4 linked regions of the Caenorhabditis elegans genome follow. The protein of the gene in region 2 interacts with the protein of the main gene of each other region in a pairwise test. Each region holds a gene or a part of one and is shown on either strand. Other genes may lie near its edges.

Region 1 (4,253 bases), 3.5 Mb from region 2:
TTTAAATCTGCTGAAACTTGGTTTGCAATTCCGAATGTCGTTTTTGGGATTGCTAACTGATTTTCTCCGGTCGCTCCAATCTACAAAATTTTAATTGAAAGTAAGAATAATTGTTTAAAAATTATACCTTCACAATATCTTGTCAAATTTGTGTTTCGACTCACAATTTGCTCTAAAAGTTAAGTGTAAAAGTTCACTTTTAAATTTCATTCTTACTTGCATGATGTCCCTGGAATCCAAAGATTCGCGGAACCTGTGTCAAGGACAACAATAAAGCTCTGATCAGGAGTTCCAATAGTGATGTTTCCAAGATATTCAAAATCGGCAAAGTCATTGACCTAAATTAGTGTATGTGTTTATGAGAAAAATATCAAATAAAAGTTATTTTTGAAAGTTGGCTAGTTTCTATTTAAAAATTGTGAAACTTGCATAGAACAGGTTATCAGTACAAGTTTTAGATTATTTTAAAATTTGGATACGTTAAAAAAAACTTACATTCTGTGGCAAACTCTGTAGCTGCCAAGGATTACGGTTTCTTTGTCTCTCGAGATGTTTCTTATATGTTGCCCATTCTCCACTTCTCAGCATCTCGATCCTTTTTGATGGTTTCCATAATATTTTACTTTGATGTACTAATCCAGAAACAAAAACAAATAAACTTATAATTAAAATTATTGATCGCATTTTTCAAAAAGTGATCAATTTCCCCCTTTTCAATTCTGGTTTTAAGCTTTTTTTCATTTTCTTGCATCATCAAACGGCGGACTCGTTAATTTCGCTGATAACACAAGTAAACTGATAAGAGGAATGAAACATCGTGATTAAAATTCAATGCAATTCATTTCTGCAGAAAAATTGTTTAAATATTAGTTGTTTCAATTGTTTTATTATTGAAAAAGTATAAGTACATAAATAGTAATATATATTTACTTTTGGAGAGATGGAGCGAATCCCATTCTCTTGTTTCCAATATCGTAAATGTTGCAGTATTGACGAATGAATGGATCTCCAAGAATCCATGATGGTCCGAATCCTCCGAAATCGAATGGGAAGGCAGCGAAAAGGCATTGACCGTTTCCGGCATCAACGATGTAGTTGACTGGCTGGATGGAATAAGTGTTGGTTCCAATGGTAATATCAAGAGTTCCTGGCTGGGCAGCGCAGTCGATGAAGTAGACCTCGTTAAAGTCATCATAAGTGGCTCCAGCGGCCTTGGCGAGTCCGTCAACAACAGATTGTGGTCCTCCGAGGAAGGAAGTTCCGGTGTCAGAGATAACATCAACGGTCTTGGTGTTTGAGTATGATCCGAGTTTGAATCCGGCAGCCTTGAATTGATAGTAGGTGGCAGAGGAAAGTGGTTGGTAGGCAACAAGGGCTCCGCAGTTGGTGGTGTCAATGGCTCCGTAGGTGAAGACTCCTCCTCCAACATTGTTGGCGGCTCCTCTGTGCTCAAGCCAGACTGAGAAGAGTGGCTGGTCAAGGATTCCTTGGTTGATGGCGTTGATGAGTGGTGGGACAACTCCGTCGACGGCAAGGGAGGTGAAAGCAAGTCCGAGAATTCCGTCGGTGGCGTCATTCTTGAAGTCAGCGGAAATCTTGCTGGCAATTCCGAAGGTGGTGGTTGGAACAGACAATTGGGAGTCTCCCTTAGCTCCGAACTGAAAATCAATTTGATAAGGACTGATTTTTTGTAAAATTCACTTTGCCAGCTAATTTATATCAAGATTACACAACGCACACATTAATGCATTGAAGATAAACTTACTCTAACGGTATCTTGTCCGAGGATTCCGGCGGCATCTCCTGATCCGTATTGGATGGTCCAGGACTTTCCGTTCTTAACGAAGGTGCTGGAGGCAGTGGAATCGAACTTGCTCTTGGTCTTGCAGTTGGTCCTTCAAATAATCTTTTTAAATATTTCAGAACTGAAATCTACTCACTTGCAGGTTGGTCCTGGAATCCAGAGGTTAGAGGATCCGGTATCCAAAACAACGATGAATCCTTGATCTGGGGTTCCGATGGTGATGTTTCCGAGGTACTCGAAATCTCCAAAGTCATTGACATTTTGTGGGAGATTAGCAAGAACATTTGGGGACACAGCTCTGAGATTTCTCTGGTATTCAAGGTAAGCTGGATATTGTCCAGTACGGATCATTCCCATCTTCTTGGATTCCCTCCATACGATCTTGTGTTGATGGACTGAAGCCGATGCAAGGCCAAGAACGGCCAGAAGGATGAAGGTCTTCATACCTGAAAATAAATATTTCAGAAAAATATTCTAAATGGAAATGAAATTGAAAGTGTAGATAAACGAGTGAAATAATTTTCAATTTCAAGAGCAAAAATTGAAGTAGAAAATGTCAGATAGTGCTATGTTTTATACTTGTTGAGAAAACTCATGGGCGCACTGACGTAAGTTTAATTGGTTGATAAGAACCGCCTTCTTATTTGGTTTGTACCCGATCGGTGCGATTCTTATCACTAAAAAATGAAGTTTAGTGAAGAGAGTAGTGCCGATGATTCCGGCTTCTGGAAGTAACGACTGAAAACTGACGAAACAGCTTTTATGAGCTAATAAAACTCGAGTATTAACTGAATCAAAAGTGCGTAAAGTTCCGTGAACGGTACCCGGAGATGGATGACATTTGAGTCAAGTGCTGATAGGTCAATACCAGGTACACACGTAGGTTTACTGGCTAAATCCGGAGTAATACGTGATGAATTACGTAAGCGATAGGAAAGTATACAGTTTGAGCATGGCTAAAACTTGAACAGACAGAGTCCAAAGGATGATATAATGAATGACGAGAGCCTTATTTAAGGCATCACTGTAAGATTTTCCAACAATTCAATTTGCTCTGTATTATAGTTTTCAACATTATACAGTTTTTGAATTGAATAAACTTTTTGAGTTGGAAGGTTCTTAACGGCACTTTCTATCTCATCTTACTTCACAGTTAGTAAAATAGTTACAATAGTGCCCATTATTTGAATTTTATTTGAAAATTATGTCCATTTCCAATTGTTCCACAGCATTTTTTTTTGCAAAACTCCATATTTATATGTAGATAAACTTTTTGCCAGAAAACTTGCCAGGGAATAGTTAAGGATGAATTTTCAGCCTATCTTCCTAAAGACCCCAAATATAAAATTTTTGGTGGATTGCAGAGAAAGCTAGGCATGGTTTCAAGTTTTACAGTTCACCCTTTTGAATTGGAAATCCAATTAATACTGTACGCTTGTTTTGCAAGTGTACCCAAATGACATCACTATTTTCTGCAGTTTTTTTTCCGGCTCTGTATTATTTTGGCAGTCAACATGATAGCTTTATTGACATTTCTTTAAATCAAACGTTTTCCTCAATCATTTCCGCTGTTTTACTTCTCAACCTGTGACAGTACAAACATCTTGATCATCACGTGCCCAATAGCCAGGCATGTTGACTATGAGCCGGAACTTTTCTAGATAAGCTTCTTACGAATCTAGATACGTATTCTGATTTATTATCAATAATTTATCGCATCAGATCAAGAAAGTGAGAGTTCTTGCGTCAGATTGAAAGAATAATGGCCAAAGTTTCCAAACTTTGCACGGACATTCTAGTTTGCAAAGTTATGAGCTGAAGAACGAAAAATATTAGGTTTCTATGGTATTTAATCTTAAACGCATAAATTTTAGGAAGAAAGAACCATTTTAGTTCTTGAATACTTGTATTACACTTTCAAATACCCATATTTCAAGCATAATAGGACTACTGAACTTTTTATCGTACCGGGCATTCACACAGTCTCGCACAAAAGTCAACCTAAATGATATTGTATTTCAAACAGTTGTTCGTTGAAAAACTAGTAGAATCAAGAAACAAACATGATTTCAACCAAAATTAATGAAACCTCTTTTATTTCAAAACACAACACGCACTGAAAACATCGAAATATTCAATAAATCTTTTCAGAAATGAAGACAACTCTTCTCGCTTTTGTAGCCATTCTTGGCATGTGCTCGGCAACTGTGGTTCAGCATAAATTGATCTATCGGGAATCGCCAAAGATGCAAATGATGAGGCGAGGAGAATGGGGAGCATACGTTCAACACAAGGCTGCCCTACGTGACGCCAATCCAGCTGTGTTCGCCAGTGCTCCACAAAATGTCAATGATTTTGGAGATGTTGAATACCTAGGAAATATCACGATTGGAACTCCTCCACAACAGTTTATTGTCGTCTTGGATACTGGTTCTGCGAATCTCTGGGT
Region 2 (4,186 bases):
ATTGTGGTTTCTATGTACATTTTGTATACCTGGGTGCAAACTGGACGGGAGCATTTGGCAAAGCTGTCGGGTAAAACTGCAGAGCCAGAGTTCATTAATAGGATCATCAAAGTCTGCTTGGATCATGATGCTCGGATTTCACATATTGATACGGTTTATGTGTACCATTTTGGAAGCAAGTTTTTAGTTGAGGTAAGAATATTTTTTCTCTGGATTCTTCAAGCCTAAGCCTGAACCTAAGCCTGAGCCTAAGCCCAAGCCTAAGCCTAGGCCTAAACCTACACCTAGGCCTAACATAAGCCCGTATCGCACATTTCTGAAGAGGCTGAGCTTACAACTGAATTATTGTGCTACTCTAAAATCTGTAATATTTCCAGGTGCACATTGTGCTCGACGAGAATATGATCCTCAAAGAATCCCATGACATCAGTGAGACCCTCCAATCAAACATCGAAAGCTTGCCGGAAGTTGAACGTGCATTTGTTCATACAGACTATGATTATGATCATCATCCTCACGACGAGCATAAAATTGTTTGAATTAGTTATTATTAGAGCACATTTGCATTATGATTTTGTTTTTTTCTTCTTCCCAGTGCCCCCCTACTTTAAGTTTTATTTCATATTTTTCCGGTTTCATGACAGAAATCATCAGCATCTCTCAATGTTTTTTTTTCGCATAATTAACTATACTTTTTTTTGTTTGAAATTTTGAAAATTTTGATTTGCAAACTATAATATTTTTTCTCACATATCGTCGTAGAGTGTCAAATGTTTCTTTTTTTATTTCATTAATTAAAATAAAATAATAAATAAACAAATTAAATTTAAAAACAATTCAAATATTTTTTTGGGATTTCGTTTGTTGTTGATGTTGTTGTCTTGGTGGTGGGAACGATTCGTTTCAAATAGATTAGAATAATTTAAAAGGAGCAGAGAGTCAGAGAACGGAGAAGGAAAGTACAATATATTAAAAAAATATATAAAAATATAGAAAGACTGGGGGCAATTTGTCGCATGAAAAAAGGGAAAAATTGAATTCCATTTTTTTACTTTCCACTGCTCAAATAGCACAAGTTTCCAGCTCCACAGGTGTATCCAGTTGGGCAGACTCCGTTGACACATGATCCGAGGACTCCTCCGGATCCGAGTGGGCAACAGTAGTTGTTGGTGTTGCACATGAATCCGGTTGGGCAGACCTGGTTTACACATGGTCCCGTGCTGTTTCCGGATTGGCATCTGCAGCAGTAGTTGTTGCTCGAGCAGAAGAATCCTTGTCCGCAGAGTCCTCCGAGGCAGGCGGCGACGGCTGGTCCTCCGGAGCAGGCGGCTGAAATTTTTGTTGGAATTAGACGACTTTCCACACCCATATTTGAACTCGTTCTGATACGAGCTAAAGATAGAAAAAGATAGGTTCGTGCGTGTTGTCCAAACCGCGCCGACTTCGTGAGACACAGAGCACAGCAGCACGCACCGAGCAAACGCAAACACCCCGCGAAACTTCGCAAATATTTTGTATTTATGTTGAGCCGTATAAGAAGGTGTCTCCATCACCGCAAAAGGGACTAAGCAGCGTCTCCCCGGGAGTTGTAGCAATCATTAGGTAATCAGTGTGTGTGTTTGCTCGAACCGGAAGGGAACGGCGGGGACACTTGAGAAATTGGAACGGTGACTGGATTCTTGATATCTCTTGATATGATTTTGATAAGGTTTGAGGTTTGAACTAAGGGAGATCTAAATTTTAAAGGTGTCAGCATTCAACTTTTATCTCATATTCCTTACTAAAGGGTTAAAGGACGATGCGTTACTTAAGCGATATGAACGGATCTGGGTACACTGAACCTAGGGAAGCCAGGACTTGAACTCGTGACCTCTAGATTGCTAATTATCAATACTACCGACTGAGCTATCCCCGCTCCTAGTTTTTAATAATTGCGACGTTTTCTTTAACATCTCTGATTTATGAAAAAAAGCAATTTTTCAACTTCCTACACAACCTTCATATTAAAAAAACTTACTATCAAGGTTATTGTTTCCTGGGCAACAGCATCCTTGGACACAGACAGATGCGACAGAATATCTCTGGCACTGGGACGAGGAACTGCATGAGGAATAGCAATTGGATGGGCATCCAAACTGCCTCTTCTGACGGAATACTGTGGAGTTGGCTTCACGAATTTCTGGAGCTGAAAGTCGGATTTTAGGAGTTGAAGAGTGAGTGACAACATACCTTCTTTCGCGTCTTCTGCGTTCAGTACCCAGAAGCAGGCGAGGGGGAGGATAATGCAGAAGGAGATGGCGAGTTGCTTCATAATGAGTTATTTGAAGGTTTTAAGACAAGTAGGAACACCTGACCCTGCGCTGGCCTGAAATTTTAATAATAATAATAATATTATATCAGGAAACTAATAAAGATTCAGATAAATAATAAAGAGTAATATGTAAGTAAAACTGTAAAATTAGTAGGTAGAGTAAGGTAACTCAAAAATAAATCTGAAGATTTGTTCTCAAGGAGAAGCCCGATGGAGCAGCAAGACTAAATGGTCATTTGTACGTAACAGTGAGGAGAGAGGGGAGGGGACACTAACTGACCGTCTTCTCTTTTTCGTCTCCCTCCGACTTTCTGTGTTAGCTTAGACTCTGGCGCCTCCGCGCGGCGACGTGCTCTTTGCGCGCGGCACGAAACTCTCTCATTTCCCCCATCGGGCTCAGTCCAGTCTATGTGTTTGTAAAATGAAGTGGACGATTGATGTTCAAATACTTGAGTGACCCCACACACACACACACACATACACCAAAAGATTGTGAGCGCGCGCTTGTCAAAATGTCGTTCAACTTATCTTATCACGGTTGAAGCATATATAGAAACTTTCCAATTATATTCGGATTGCTAAGGTTTTTATGAAAAGCCCGGAGTCTGTGGTCAATGGAAAACATATAGCTTTCTAATAGTAAGAGCCTTTTGCTTCTTTAAATTTTTGCAATGCTTGATACTTAAATAGTAGTTAGGATGTTAGTTGATAGTTTTTTTAATGCTACAAGAAAAATTAGAATAGTTGAAAAAATGATTCCTACCGTATTTAGCATATTGGACATGAAACTCATTGATCTACTTAAGCGGCGTTTACTGTCTAACTGTAGATAAATATTTTGCACGTGTTTTGTCAGTTAATGACAGTTTTTTGATAGAACCGAAGGGAACAGAGATATAACAAAATAGAGCAAGGGTTGCATGTCTAATAGGGAAACTACGGTGTCTAGAAAATCTTAAAAACAGAGAACAGAGCAAAATCTGTTCCTGATGTGTGAGTAGCCGATTTGCCATCGGAAGAAAATTTGACTCTAAAGTGTCGGAGCACTGTGCTCTTTATACTCGGTGCACTCGAGTGGCAGCGGTGGCGTCAGAGAGACAGCGAGAGCTGCCGGGCCAACTGACCGGCAGGTAAGAGTATCCGGTTTTGGGATGCAACACACGCGGGTGGTGTAGACCACGGCCGGAGACGGGAAGCCATCATCCTTGAAGAGGCAACTTCTCAGAGAGAAAGTGAGCACATAATACACCTCCATTATGAGAGCACAACTCTCTTTTTTTCCCAACACTCGTCCAAACGCGGTTTAAAAAAAACACGTGGAATATGCTTTGTGACGTCTGGGAATTATTGGAACAAGAAACATGGAAGTCATGCGAGAGTCTTCGAACAACTTAAGATGTACGCATAATGTCTCAGTGGAGACATCGCGATCGAGGTCCGGACACAATGAACCAGTGGTGGCCGCCAGCAATCTAGAGGTCACCAGTTCAAGTCCTACCTCCCACTAGGTCCATCCAGCCTTAAGTGGGAAGTAGAGCAATCCACGACTGGACTATTGGTCACAGTCCCCGGCTCGAACAAGGCTTAAATTGGAGCTGGACTGCTGTGTCTGACCTTTAGATACGCAGAAAAAGCTCAGTTTTAATTGCCGTACATATTCCAGAGTTGTGTCTGTTTTGAGCTTGTTCTGCATATGGGACGCCGAGGCATCAAAGTGCCTACCTACGGCAAATTAGCCGTGCTCAACAAACTCCAAAAAATTAATACTCATTGATGCTTTTTGGAGCACCAAAACTACTGAATTCTGAACAATCACCTGGATTCCGAATAAGTTCCGTGTAGTATGTTTGCTTATGCATCTAAATAACTCAATTT
Region 3 (5,098 bases), on a different chromosome or scaffold from region 2:
GTTGGAAAGAAGGTTTGCTGAGCTGAAACGTCGAGAATTTGCGTGTCTCCGAAAATCAGGAGCCATTCAACCGAGGAAGAGGATCAGGAAAAATCTGAAAACTCAAATTGTACGAAACCTTCTATGAATTTTTTAACAGTTAAATTCGGTATTTTCAAACTATTTTCTGTTATTTAGAGCAACAAAAACCACCGACGCTACTCCACAATTAAAAAATACATTAATTAAAAGGGAAAATAATTCTTAAACTAACTATTTCCAGGAATCTGCATTCTCCCCGTCGACTTCTATCCCATCATGCTCAACTGGTCGTGCTCCTCCTCCAACTTCACCTGAAGACGAAGCCCCTTCGACTTCCGAAAGTCTACAAAATCCAATTCCATACCACATCAATATTGAGCGATCACGAAACAAGAGGAAGAAAAAGTCGAAAAAAGAAAAACCGAAGAAGAAAAAACCGCCAACAAAAAAGGAGGAAGGTATTGAGAAACCAGAACTTGTCAAGAAGAAGAAGAATCGGCGGAGGAAGAGGAAGAAAATGTGCCGAAAACTTGCCAAGTACATTCCAGGAGGCCAGGTTCGAAGATTTTTCGAGACGATTCAAGTTTTTTCGTTGAAAAAGTATCTGGAAATGAAGCGACAATGGCAAGAGTTGATCAGGCTGGAACAAGAACGAATGAGAGAAGATCAAGCTATTGAAGTTCCCGATATGGAGTTTTAATTTAAAAATGTATTTTCTAATAATTATTGTAAAATCCCCACACATGCCATTTCCCTGTTAAAATTTCAAGAAAAAAACCACGGTTCAATCTCTAGATCTACATCAATCAATTTTTATGAACTATTCATCCCGATTTTTTTGTATAATATATTGTTTTTTGATTTATTCTTGTTGTTTCAGAGCACAATTTTTAGACAAAAAATACAGGAACAAGAAAGCAAATGGATAGGGCGATGGATATGCGAAGGTGAAATTTTTATAAAGAAGGAGAATTTTTTAGGATGGGAAGGGATTGATCGAGTTGAATTTGACGAGACGTTTCCAGGGGGTGCCAGTTATCCGAAATTTTCAATGATTTTATTGGAAATTACTTAGCCCACGCGGCTTTCTCCTTCTTCTCAGTGTCTTCCTCATCGAGTGCGAATTCGTTCTTGTCGACAACCTTGAGTTGAGCACGGAAATCGACTTTGGTGGCTTCCTTCTTCTTAAGCTTGTCGAATTTTCCCTCGGTCTTGGACACCTTCTTCAGGGTTGGCTTCACGCTGGAAATTTTAAATTTTTATTTTTTGGATGAAACTTTAATTTTTTGCCGTTTCAACATTCGGTCCTGTCGAGACCGGGATTGATATGTATTTTGCGTTAAAAATTGTAAATTTTCGCATCTGGGTATCATATGAACATTCGCTCTATGAAGCTAAAAATGAACTGTATACTCCCGTGTACTGTAGCTGAAAAGTTTGCGTTCGTGTCAGGACCCGAAATTGGTGAAGCTAACAGTTCTCAAAATTTTCTACAATATCAATATTTTTTGATTTGGTGTCATTTTCGTAATTAATTTTCCTATTTCCATTTGAAAAAATTTCCCGTTTCAAGATAGTAATATCAAAAATGGCGAAAAGTATTTTCTCAGTGCCATCCAATAATTATGTGGTTAAAATGAATACCCCCAAAAACTCAAAAAATATAAAAAACGAACAATTTTCCGCGAAGATCGTTGACAGCAATGGTCAACTCGTTGATCTCGAAATCCTTTTGACGAACGATGTAGCTGACGTCATAGTTTTCAGACTCAAGATCGATGAGTCTCTCGCGGATTTCATCGTAGACTGCCTCGAGGTCATCTGGAAAATTTAATAAAGATAAAACTCATGTAGGTAACCGCCCGGAATTATGAAGTTTTTACAGAGTTTTAACACTTTTTAAAGTAGTCTATTAGATTTAAAAAATTCAAGTTTTTATTTAAAAATTTTACTGTTTCGTATTTTCTATTTAACCAAACGTATTTTGGAGAGGTATTGACATCCTAGCAAAATGTTCTTTAATTACTAAATTAAGTGTTTTGTTCTATATTTTCATACATAATTGCATTTTACTGATATCCAAAAGTAGCATAAAATAGTTGTTTTCATCTTCAGAACACTTACCTTCGTTATCCAAATCTGGAAGTGGAATGATTCTTTCTTGAAGAATACGTTGTCTCTCTTGCTCTTTCAACATTTGTTGTTGCTTCAAATCTTCGGCGGCCTTCATCATCAAAAGCTTACGAAGCTTCTTCTTTCTCTCAGGTGTCAAGAATCCTTTCTTGGCTTTCTTCATTCTTGAGGCCTCCTCGAGACGCTTACGCACCTCTTCCTTCTTGCGCTCGCGCTCCGCCATTTTGCGCGCCTAGAAATGTGAATTTGAGGTACGGAAATGGGAATATGGCGGTTACGGTAACTCAATATTTGAACTGAAGACGAAACATGACAAGGGTGAACCAAAAATATTTTGCAGAACAAAAAATCCTTAATATTAAAAATATACTTACTGAGTATTTAAAATCTTTATGGGGTCTTGTAACGGCAGCTTTTATGTAATTCGCTTTTCAACTAAGTAAAAGACATTATAAACAGTTTCAACAAGTATATGAATCATTTACAATCACTATACATCAAAAAGGTGAACAATTTTTTATTTATTTTAAAGTTACTGTTTCAAAAAAACTATAACCAAAAATGTTTCTAACTATAAACACTATGTTTTTATATAAATAATATGAACATATACAGTCGCGCCAAAGCAATCGCTTCGTCTTAGTAAGTAAGGTCTTAGTAAGATCTTGCTTGTTCACAAACACGTTTTTTTTAAATTTTACTAATTTTTTATACCAAAGCTCACAATTTTCAAACTAGTCGAATAAATATATATATATATATATATATATTGTTTCAACGAGCCCACAAATTACAGTCACATTATAGTAAACGAATGCATTGTTTCCCACTAATTCATTTCTATTTCAAAAACTGTTACAGTTTCAGATTGTTGTTAATTTATGAATTAAAACAGTTTCATGTTTATTGAAGGGTTTATCCCAAAAACACTGGAAATATTTTCATTTTTACAAGTAAAAACTATCTCAAATTTTCTTTCAGATTTCAAGAAAAAATATAAAATAACTCAATAAAAACCATTTCCAACAAAAAAACCAAATCTGTACTTAAAATTTTCAACTGTCTAGACTTACTTCTGCATCCATATGTGGGGGATAAGGCTGGAAACTTTTTTTGGTTTACCAAAAAGTTTACAAAATTACTGTTTCATGTGTTTTACAAATTCAAATCAATTTTTATCTTTGCAATGAAATAAAACCACGACTCACCTCATCAGCGTCAACGTCACTCATGGTTATTGGTTATCACCTGAAATAATTTAATACGTAATTTAAAGAAGATCCCAATCAGAACAAGATCTACGAGATGAATCATTGATTGCTGTGAAACGGTAAAAGTTGGGTTGAGACAAAGAAAAGATAACGAAAAAGTGTGGGGGACACGGCGAAAATGCCAAGAAATTTGCTCGGAGAAACTGAATTGGCTCGGCTTTTCCCGATTGCCTGGTAAGTGTGTTTTCGAAATAGCACGGAAAATGAAGAGACGAGAGGAAGATATTTGCGAAAGGGGGATCCCGGCGCCTCCCACCACCTCCTCTTCAGTTACAGTAACATGGAAATAGTATGGATTATTGAGAGATTTAGAGCATCACGGGAAGAAGCGGGTGCTTGAGAATATCCTCAGTCTGTTGCAGTCAAGGGAATTGTTGGAAAAAAAAATGGAAGGGATTGGAGTTGAAGTGAGAAAAAATTATATTAAAAATGGTTGCTGCTTTGGTTCTTGAATAGAAGTAGATAATTTTATGAGAACTGAAACATTTTTAAAGGCAAATGATTATTTTCTTATGGGTATAATAATCATAAGCTTGTTTAAAACTGAAAACTAATAGTAAAAAATTTGAATTTCCAAGGTTCCTAGAAAAACTTCTAGTTTTTGCTGAAAAAGCCTGACACTGAAAAGTAAATTTTCAGACCAAAAAAAGTATCAAGACAATATTTCTACTGAAAGAAACTAAATTTTTAGCATTTCAAAATGATAACTTCGTTACTATGATAAATTAACTTGCTTTAAAAAATTTCCTATTATTTTATCGAAGAAACAGTAAATTATTTAAATTCTATCAGGACAACAACAAGCTTAAAATGGGAACTGTGAATCATGATTGGAAATCGCCTGTTATTTTTATACCAGTAAAATGTATGTTCAGTTGATTCCACGTAGGCAGAAAAATATCTGCCTGCCTGCCTTATGACTGTGCCTACCGCCAATCAGCTGCTGAATTTTTGACAACATAGAAAGCTTCACATGTGAGCTTTGTAGCTTTCAGATTGCTACTTTTTTAATTGAAGGCAATCAATTTTGGTACTCGTTTTAATTAATGCTTCAATAAGTCATTAACTGCTGTAGGAGATTTAAAATTATGATGAAAATAAAAAAAATACCGGAAAATAAATTCAGTTTCTCTAACAAGTTTTATCTTACTATTAGAAACTAGTTTGAAATCAAATATGATTTGAGGCTCAAAAATATTTTTTGTTACAACACGACTTGAAGGTACAAGTTTCCGTAAAAAATATGATAAGTTGTCCAAAGGTTTCAAATACATTTTTTTTGCAGTTCTCACTGTTCACAGTAATCAAAAAAATATACGATTATGTTTAATAAATACAATTGCAAATTTTGTTGAATTCAAAAAATTTGCGCGTTTAAATAGTACTATAGACCCCACCCCTGTCGTTGCCAATTTTTCTTCGATTTTTAAACCTTGACTTGTAAAAAATTCCATAATTTGGGAACTTCAGTAAGACTGGGCACCGTATTTTAATAAGAAAATTCAAAACTGGGTAGCAGATGATTGTCCGGAAAGTTTTAATGAAGTTTCGCTGAAAGATTTAAACACTTATATCGCCTTGATGAAACCGTAATTGTTGGTATATGTTCCCACGGTAACATATTTTTCATTTTTCAAATGGCTCCACCTGCCTTCTGCCTACCACGCACTTTT
Region 4 (4,453 bases), on a different chromosome or scaffold from region 2:
TGATGTTAAAACTATGAAAAATCAAATTAGTTTACTGTAAAACTGTCTCAAAGAATTTCAGGTTTTCATTACCCAATAAATACTCTAATATGGAAACATCCCAACCGAACCGATTTTTCTATTTAATATGAATAATTTTAACACAAAATTGGCTTTCTACAAAGAGCGCCGCTGTTGCTTCAACGTAGCAACTGTATTTTCTATCCACACCACACTGTGGCAATATTGTCTCTTATTTTTTAATTGAGCATGGAGGGCTCATAAACAGTTAACCCCTAAAAGAAAAAAACAGAGAAACGGCTCTCTTTCATTTTTTATAGTAATTATAAAGTAACTTGAAAAATTTAAAGAGAATGAAGAAAATTCAATAAGAACACATGGAACACAATCAACAGTACAACAAAACAAAGGATATTGGCAGGTTACTTTTTTAATGTGTGAAAAATTTACAAAGTTATCAGGCTCTGAATAATCTGAGCTACATATTTCTACACCGGACACCACATGTAACAGAGCCGTGTGCGTTTTTTGCACATGTCAGTCAGCGGTTATAATCGCAACTGTACCTTCATTTTCAACATTCTACAAGCTGAAAATTAAAAGGTGCTGCACTTTTCATTGTCAATCTCATTTCAATGATTTACTTGTTTGAAAAAAATATCGACAATTTATTAGCCATCGGAAAGAGCGAGTAGTAGCAACAAAGGAGAGCATGAGATGTGGTAATACTAAAATTTTCTATTTGGAACATTGAGACATGAGTGATGTTTGGATCATAACCGAGTGAGCGAATTGGAAATTTGATATCAAGAAATGAACTATTAAATGATGACTGAGATGACAATAAAAGTGCAAAACTATTTAAATTTTATTGATTGTTTCCTTCTTCAATCGCCATATATCCTTCAAGTTGGCGACGAAGCTCCATTTCACTTTCAATCATAAAGTTCGCTTGCTCTTCTTCTGCCATTTCATCAACCATTGGCATCTCAAATTCTGGAGTGGAAGGTACAATAAAGTCTCCTCTCCATTCATTTTCTAATTGTCCGGATTTGAAGAGATAATCACAAGTCCAAATGAATTGAGTTTCCACACTATCAAAATCCGGATCGTCGTGGATTTGTGAAAGGAACGCGAGTTCTCCAGATACTTGTCCAATTTTGCTGAATACGATTGCATAGTTTGCGTCGAGAAGTTTGTAGAGTGCACGGAGAACAAATGCTTTGTTGTTTTTGTCGTCGGTCTGTAAAATGAAAAGTTATCATTATTTTCGATCTGTCACAAAATTGAATATCTATGTCAAATGTTTGTTAATTCTTTTTAATAAAGTTATTTCAAAGTTTATGACTGATATTAATGTCAGCTTTAAAAATTTTCAATTTCTAAATTTAATCATTTTCAATATTTCGCTTCCTTCTAATGCTCGAAAAAACAACTTATTTTTCAAACAATGATTTTGTAAGGCAACACGAGTGGGGAAAATCTTTATAAAAAATAAATTAAAAATTAAAAAATAACACATGAAATGAGCAAATATCATAGTAAACATTTTGAGAAGCTTTTTGAAATTCTTTGTGTTCATTAAAACCTTGAAAAAAGCTCAATTTTTCAAAGTGCCATTTTGCTTTTATTTTGATATGTACAGTAGGCATGAAAGCTTATTATAAGCAAAATTAGTCAAAATGCCCACTGGCGATAATTTTCAATTATTTTTTTGGTACATTTTCAATATCAATTTTTTCTACTTCCAATAACTTTGTTCTGTCAAAAGGTAAAGCTTACAGTTGTTGTTAAATTAACTTATTACTATTTATTTAATTTATGGATCTATATCATTGATAACCTAATATTTCGAAAATCTTTAATGTGTATAAGTTTCTCAAGGAATTTTTGAAATAGTTATTAATAACTGGAGTTTTGATTTAGTAGTTCCTACACTTTAAAAATATATATATTGAACAACGGACTTTGTAATGTATTTTAAATTAATAACATATTTCAGTATACTTATCTCAATAATTTTTATTGTTTAATTCATATAACGAATACTTACCTCTGGCAACTCCTTCATCCGCTTTCTAAGGAATACTCGTGCAGTTATTGATTCTTCTGAAATTTTAGTTCATTTTCGGCGTTCCAGAATATAAGTTCACTCACTTCGTGGATCCTCTGTTGAGCCATGTTGTTCACATCGAAGTTGTAATGTTCCCAAAAGAAGATGTCCGCAAGCTTTTATTTGTCCTGGAAAATTGTTTTCAACAGATATCTTCTACAAATAAATAACTATTAAAATTATTTGATTAAAAAAATTACGTCCAGTAGTTTAAAAAAAAGTTAAGTAAAAACTCACTCAAACTCATCAAGGGAGTAGTCTGTTCTAGCCCATCTTCATCCATTTTGTCGAGAATATTTGACGTAAATTGGGGCTGCTACGTAAAGGAGTAATATTTGAAACACACACAGTAGGAGAGGCACGCGACGCAGACGCATCGCGTACGTACGCAAGGCAGTGTACGCCTTGCTTTGCGAGCGGGTTTCGACTAACATATTTGATAATTCAGTTCATTAAATTAGCAAAAGGCAAACAGTAGTCAAAAAGCGAGCTGAAATATTGCATTCGTAATCTTTTTTTTTGAACAGTCCCGGTTTTTTTTCAGAAATCAAGCATAAGTATGGGAAAAATTGTTTCAAATAGCCACAGATCTGCATCTCGTTAATGCATTAGGGGTGACAATAAATCCTAGGTCAAAACACATATTGTGTTTAGTTGCTTAGAAATTTCTAAGTTTTTGAGCATTTATGAGTTTGTATTTATGATTTTTCATTTGACAGTAATTTTCAATTTTTTCAACCACCCAAGTATCCTATTTAGGAGCCACTGTTTTGAGGCTTCCGCTCGATCTCGTTTTTTAAAGCTCAGATTTGAGGTTTTCAAATGGATTTTGCCTTGTTCAGATTAAAATTATTGACTTTACACAAAATTATAGCAACCAAGTCGCAACAATTTTCAAACATGCATACATTAATTTTTCGCCTCTGAGAAATTCTCAGGAAACTTTAAAAATCGCTCGAAAAAGTTATTTTTTGAATCACCATTTGAGTGTATTGTATTAAACTAAATTTTTATGTAAGTTGAGAAACTACTTATATTTGGTTGCCTATTTTTTGTAAAAAAAATCGAAAACTTTCAACAAAATTTTTTTGAAGATTTTTTGAAAACGGATATAAAAAAGTTTTTTGGGCGAATTTCAGAAGAAAAAAATTGTAACTTTGAATAAAAATGAAACTATTTCAAAATGTTTTCAAAGCTACCGAAAAACATGTGAGAAAATTTTTTTTCAAAAATCTATTAGAAGGGTTGAAAAATGGATAATTATTTCTACAATTCACATCACAACTTGAAATCTATTGGGGTTTCTTACATATTATTATCAATAGCAAGTTGAACTAAAAAAGATTCGCAACAAAACTACTAAAAATAACATGAACAATTTTTTACTTTTTTGCGAAAAAACTATGGAAATGTTTAAATTATTTTTGAATATTTTATTATATACAGATATTTTAATATTTATTTCAAAAATAACTAATAAGGTGCAGCAAAAGTGCTAGAAATGTTTGGGGAATAGTTTGTTTTTCAACAGAAAACTCTATTTGATACATAGAAAAGTTCAATTGGTTTCTAAAAATGCTATTACGTTTAGGGATGTCTCTTTTGATATATTTTATAATAAACTTGTTCTCCACTCTTGTTCAAATTTCAAAAAAACAATTTCTAATAAAAATATACAGGTTTATATGAGATCTTTATTGAAACCAAAATAGCCTGGTACAGAAATGACATACTTATTATACAAATTGCAATTTTCGAATATAATAAAAAGCAAATAAAGGACGCATTTAGAATAAGTGCATGAAAATGTTTAATGTTCTAACACGGAATGTAAAAAGTGAAGAAAGTGGACTAGTGACGTAACATCGGTACAATTTGCTGCAAAACAAAATTTAGCACAGTCACTCCGGCATGAGAGGCTTCGGAGAATATTAAAATTTCGGTGAATGAGATTATTATCTAAATAGTTTTTAATAAATTAATTTGAGAATTTTAGCACTCTTGAACATATTCTGGGTTGACAAAAGAGAATCCTTCGAATTCAGTTTGATCCAGATTCATGAGGAATAGACGGTCAATCGGAGTAAGCTTAGGGACCTCGTGAGTAAACTCTGAATCGAAGTTGGAAGTATCATCGGCGGATTTCTGAAAAAAGGAGGTGAATATTCAAATTATTATATCTATTTGATCTATCAAGAAACAAGTCTTGGAGTTGAAAATTATCGGATATTTTACACAATGGTAAAATGAAAATTTAAGTTGTTGGTGGTTTCATGGTTTTTTTTTAAATTTACTGTGTAATTTAAAATTGAAATTTCTTACTTTTTGTTTCTTTTGAGC

The links.
Region 1: the proteins of R02F11.1 (region 2) and asp-6 interact in a two-hybrid assay, tested with the Caenorhabditis elegans proteins (one large-scale study listed by BioGRID).
Region 3: the proteins of R02F11.1 (region 2) and tni-4 interact in a two-hybrid assay, tested with the Caenorhabditis elegans proteins (one large-scale study listed by BioGRID).
Region 4: the proteins of R02F11.1 (region 2) and C23F12.4 interact in a two-hybrid assay, tested with the Caenorhabditis elegans proteins (one large-scale study listed by BioGRID).

What each region holds. Positions count from the first base shown.
Region 1 is NC_003283.11:8,266,688-8,270,940, forward strand, and holds asp-6 (Aspartic protease 6), read right to left. Parts: upstream 2,251-4,253; 5' UTR 2,249-2,250; coding exon 1,941-2,248; intron 1,896-1,940; coding exon 1,766-1,895; intron 1,659-1,765; coding exon 927-1,658; 3' UTR 824-926; downstream 1-823. Other genes in the region: asp-12 (Peptidase A1 domain-containing protein), read left to right, coding at 3,958-4,253. UniProt on the Caenorhabditis elegans protein: Aspartic protease.
Region 2 is NC_003283.11:4,799,273-4,803,458, reverse strand, and holds R02F11.1 (CC domain-containing protein), read right to left. Parts: upstream 2,366-4,186; 5' UTR 2,312-2,365; coding exon 2,230-2,311; intron 2,186-2,229; coding exon 2,018-2,185; intron 1,330-2,017; coding exon 1,049-1,329; 3' UTR 775-1,048; downstream 1-774. Other genes in the region: R02F11.3 (Cation efflux protein cytoplasmic domain-containing protein), read left to right, coding at 1-192, 378-539.
Region 3 is NC_003282.8:5,202,895-5,207,992, reverse strand, and holds tni-4 (Troponin I 4), read right to left. Parts: upstream 3,403-5,098; 5' UTR 3,387-3,402; coding exon 3,363-3,386; exon of another isoform or gene 3,342-3,362; intron 3,079-3,341; exon of another isoform or gene 3,058-3,078; intron 2,991-3,057; exon of another isoform or gene 2,970-2,990; intron 2,420-2,969; exon of another isoform or gene 2,399-2,419; intron 2,387-2,398; coding exon 2,146-2,386; intron 2,039-2,145; exon of another isoform or gene 2,017-2,038; intron 1,843-2,016; coding exon 1,698-1,842; intron 1,653-1,697; exon of another isoform or gene 1,632-1,652; intron 1,264-1,631; coding exon 1,089-1,263; 3' UTR 869-1,088; downstream 1-868. Other genes in the region: Y59E9AL.36 (RRM domain-containing protein), read left to right, coding at 1-109, 263-721. UniProt on the Caenorhabditis elegans protein: Troponin I is the inhibitory subunit of troponin, the thin filament regulatory complex which confers calcium-sensitivity to muscle actomyosin ATPase activity.
Region 4 is NC_003284.9:9,385,379-9,389,831, reverse strand, and holds C23F12.4 (LisH domain-containing protein), read right to left. Parts: upstream 2,492-4,453; 5' UTR 2,397-2,491; coding exon 2,351-2,396; intron 2,242-2,350; coding exon 2,158-2,241; intron 2,110-2,157; coding exon 2,054-2,109; intron 1,244-2,053; coding exon 869-1,243; 3' UTR 655-868; downstream 1-654.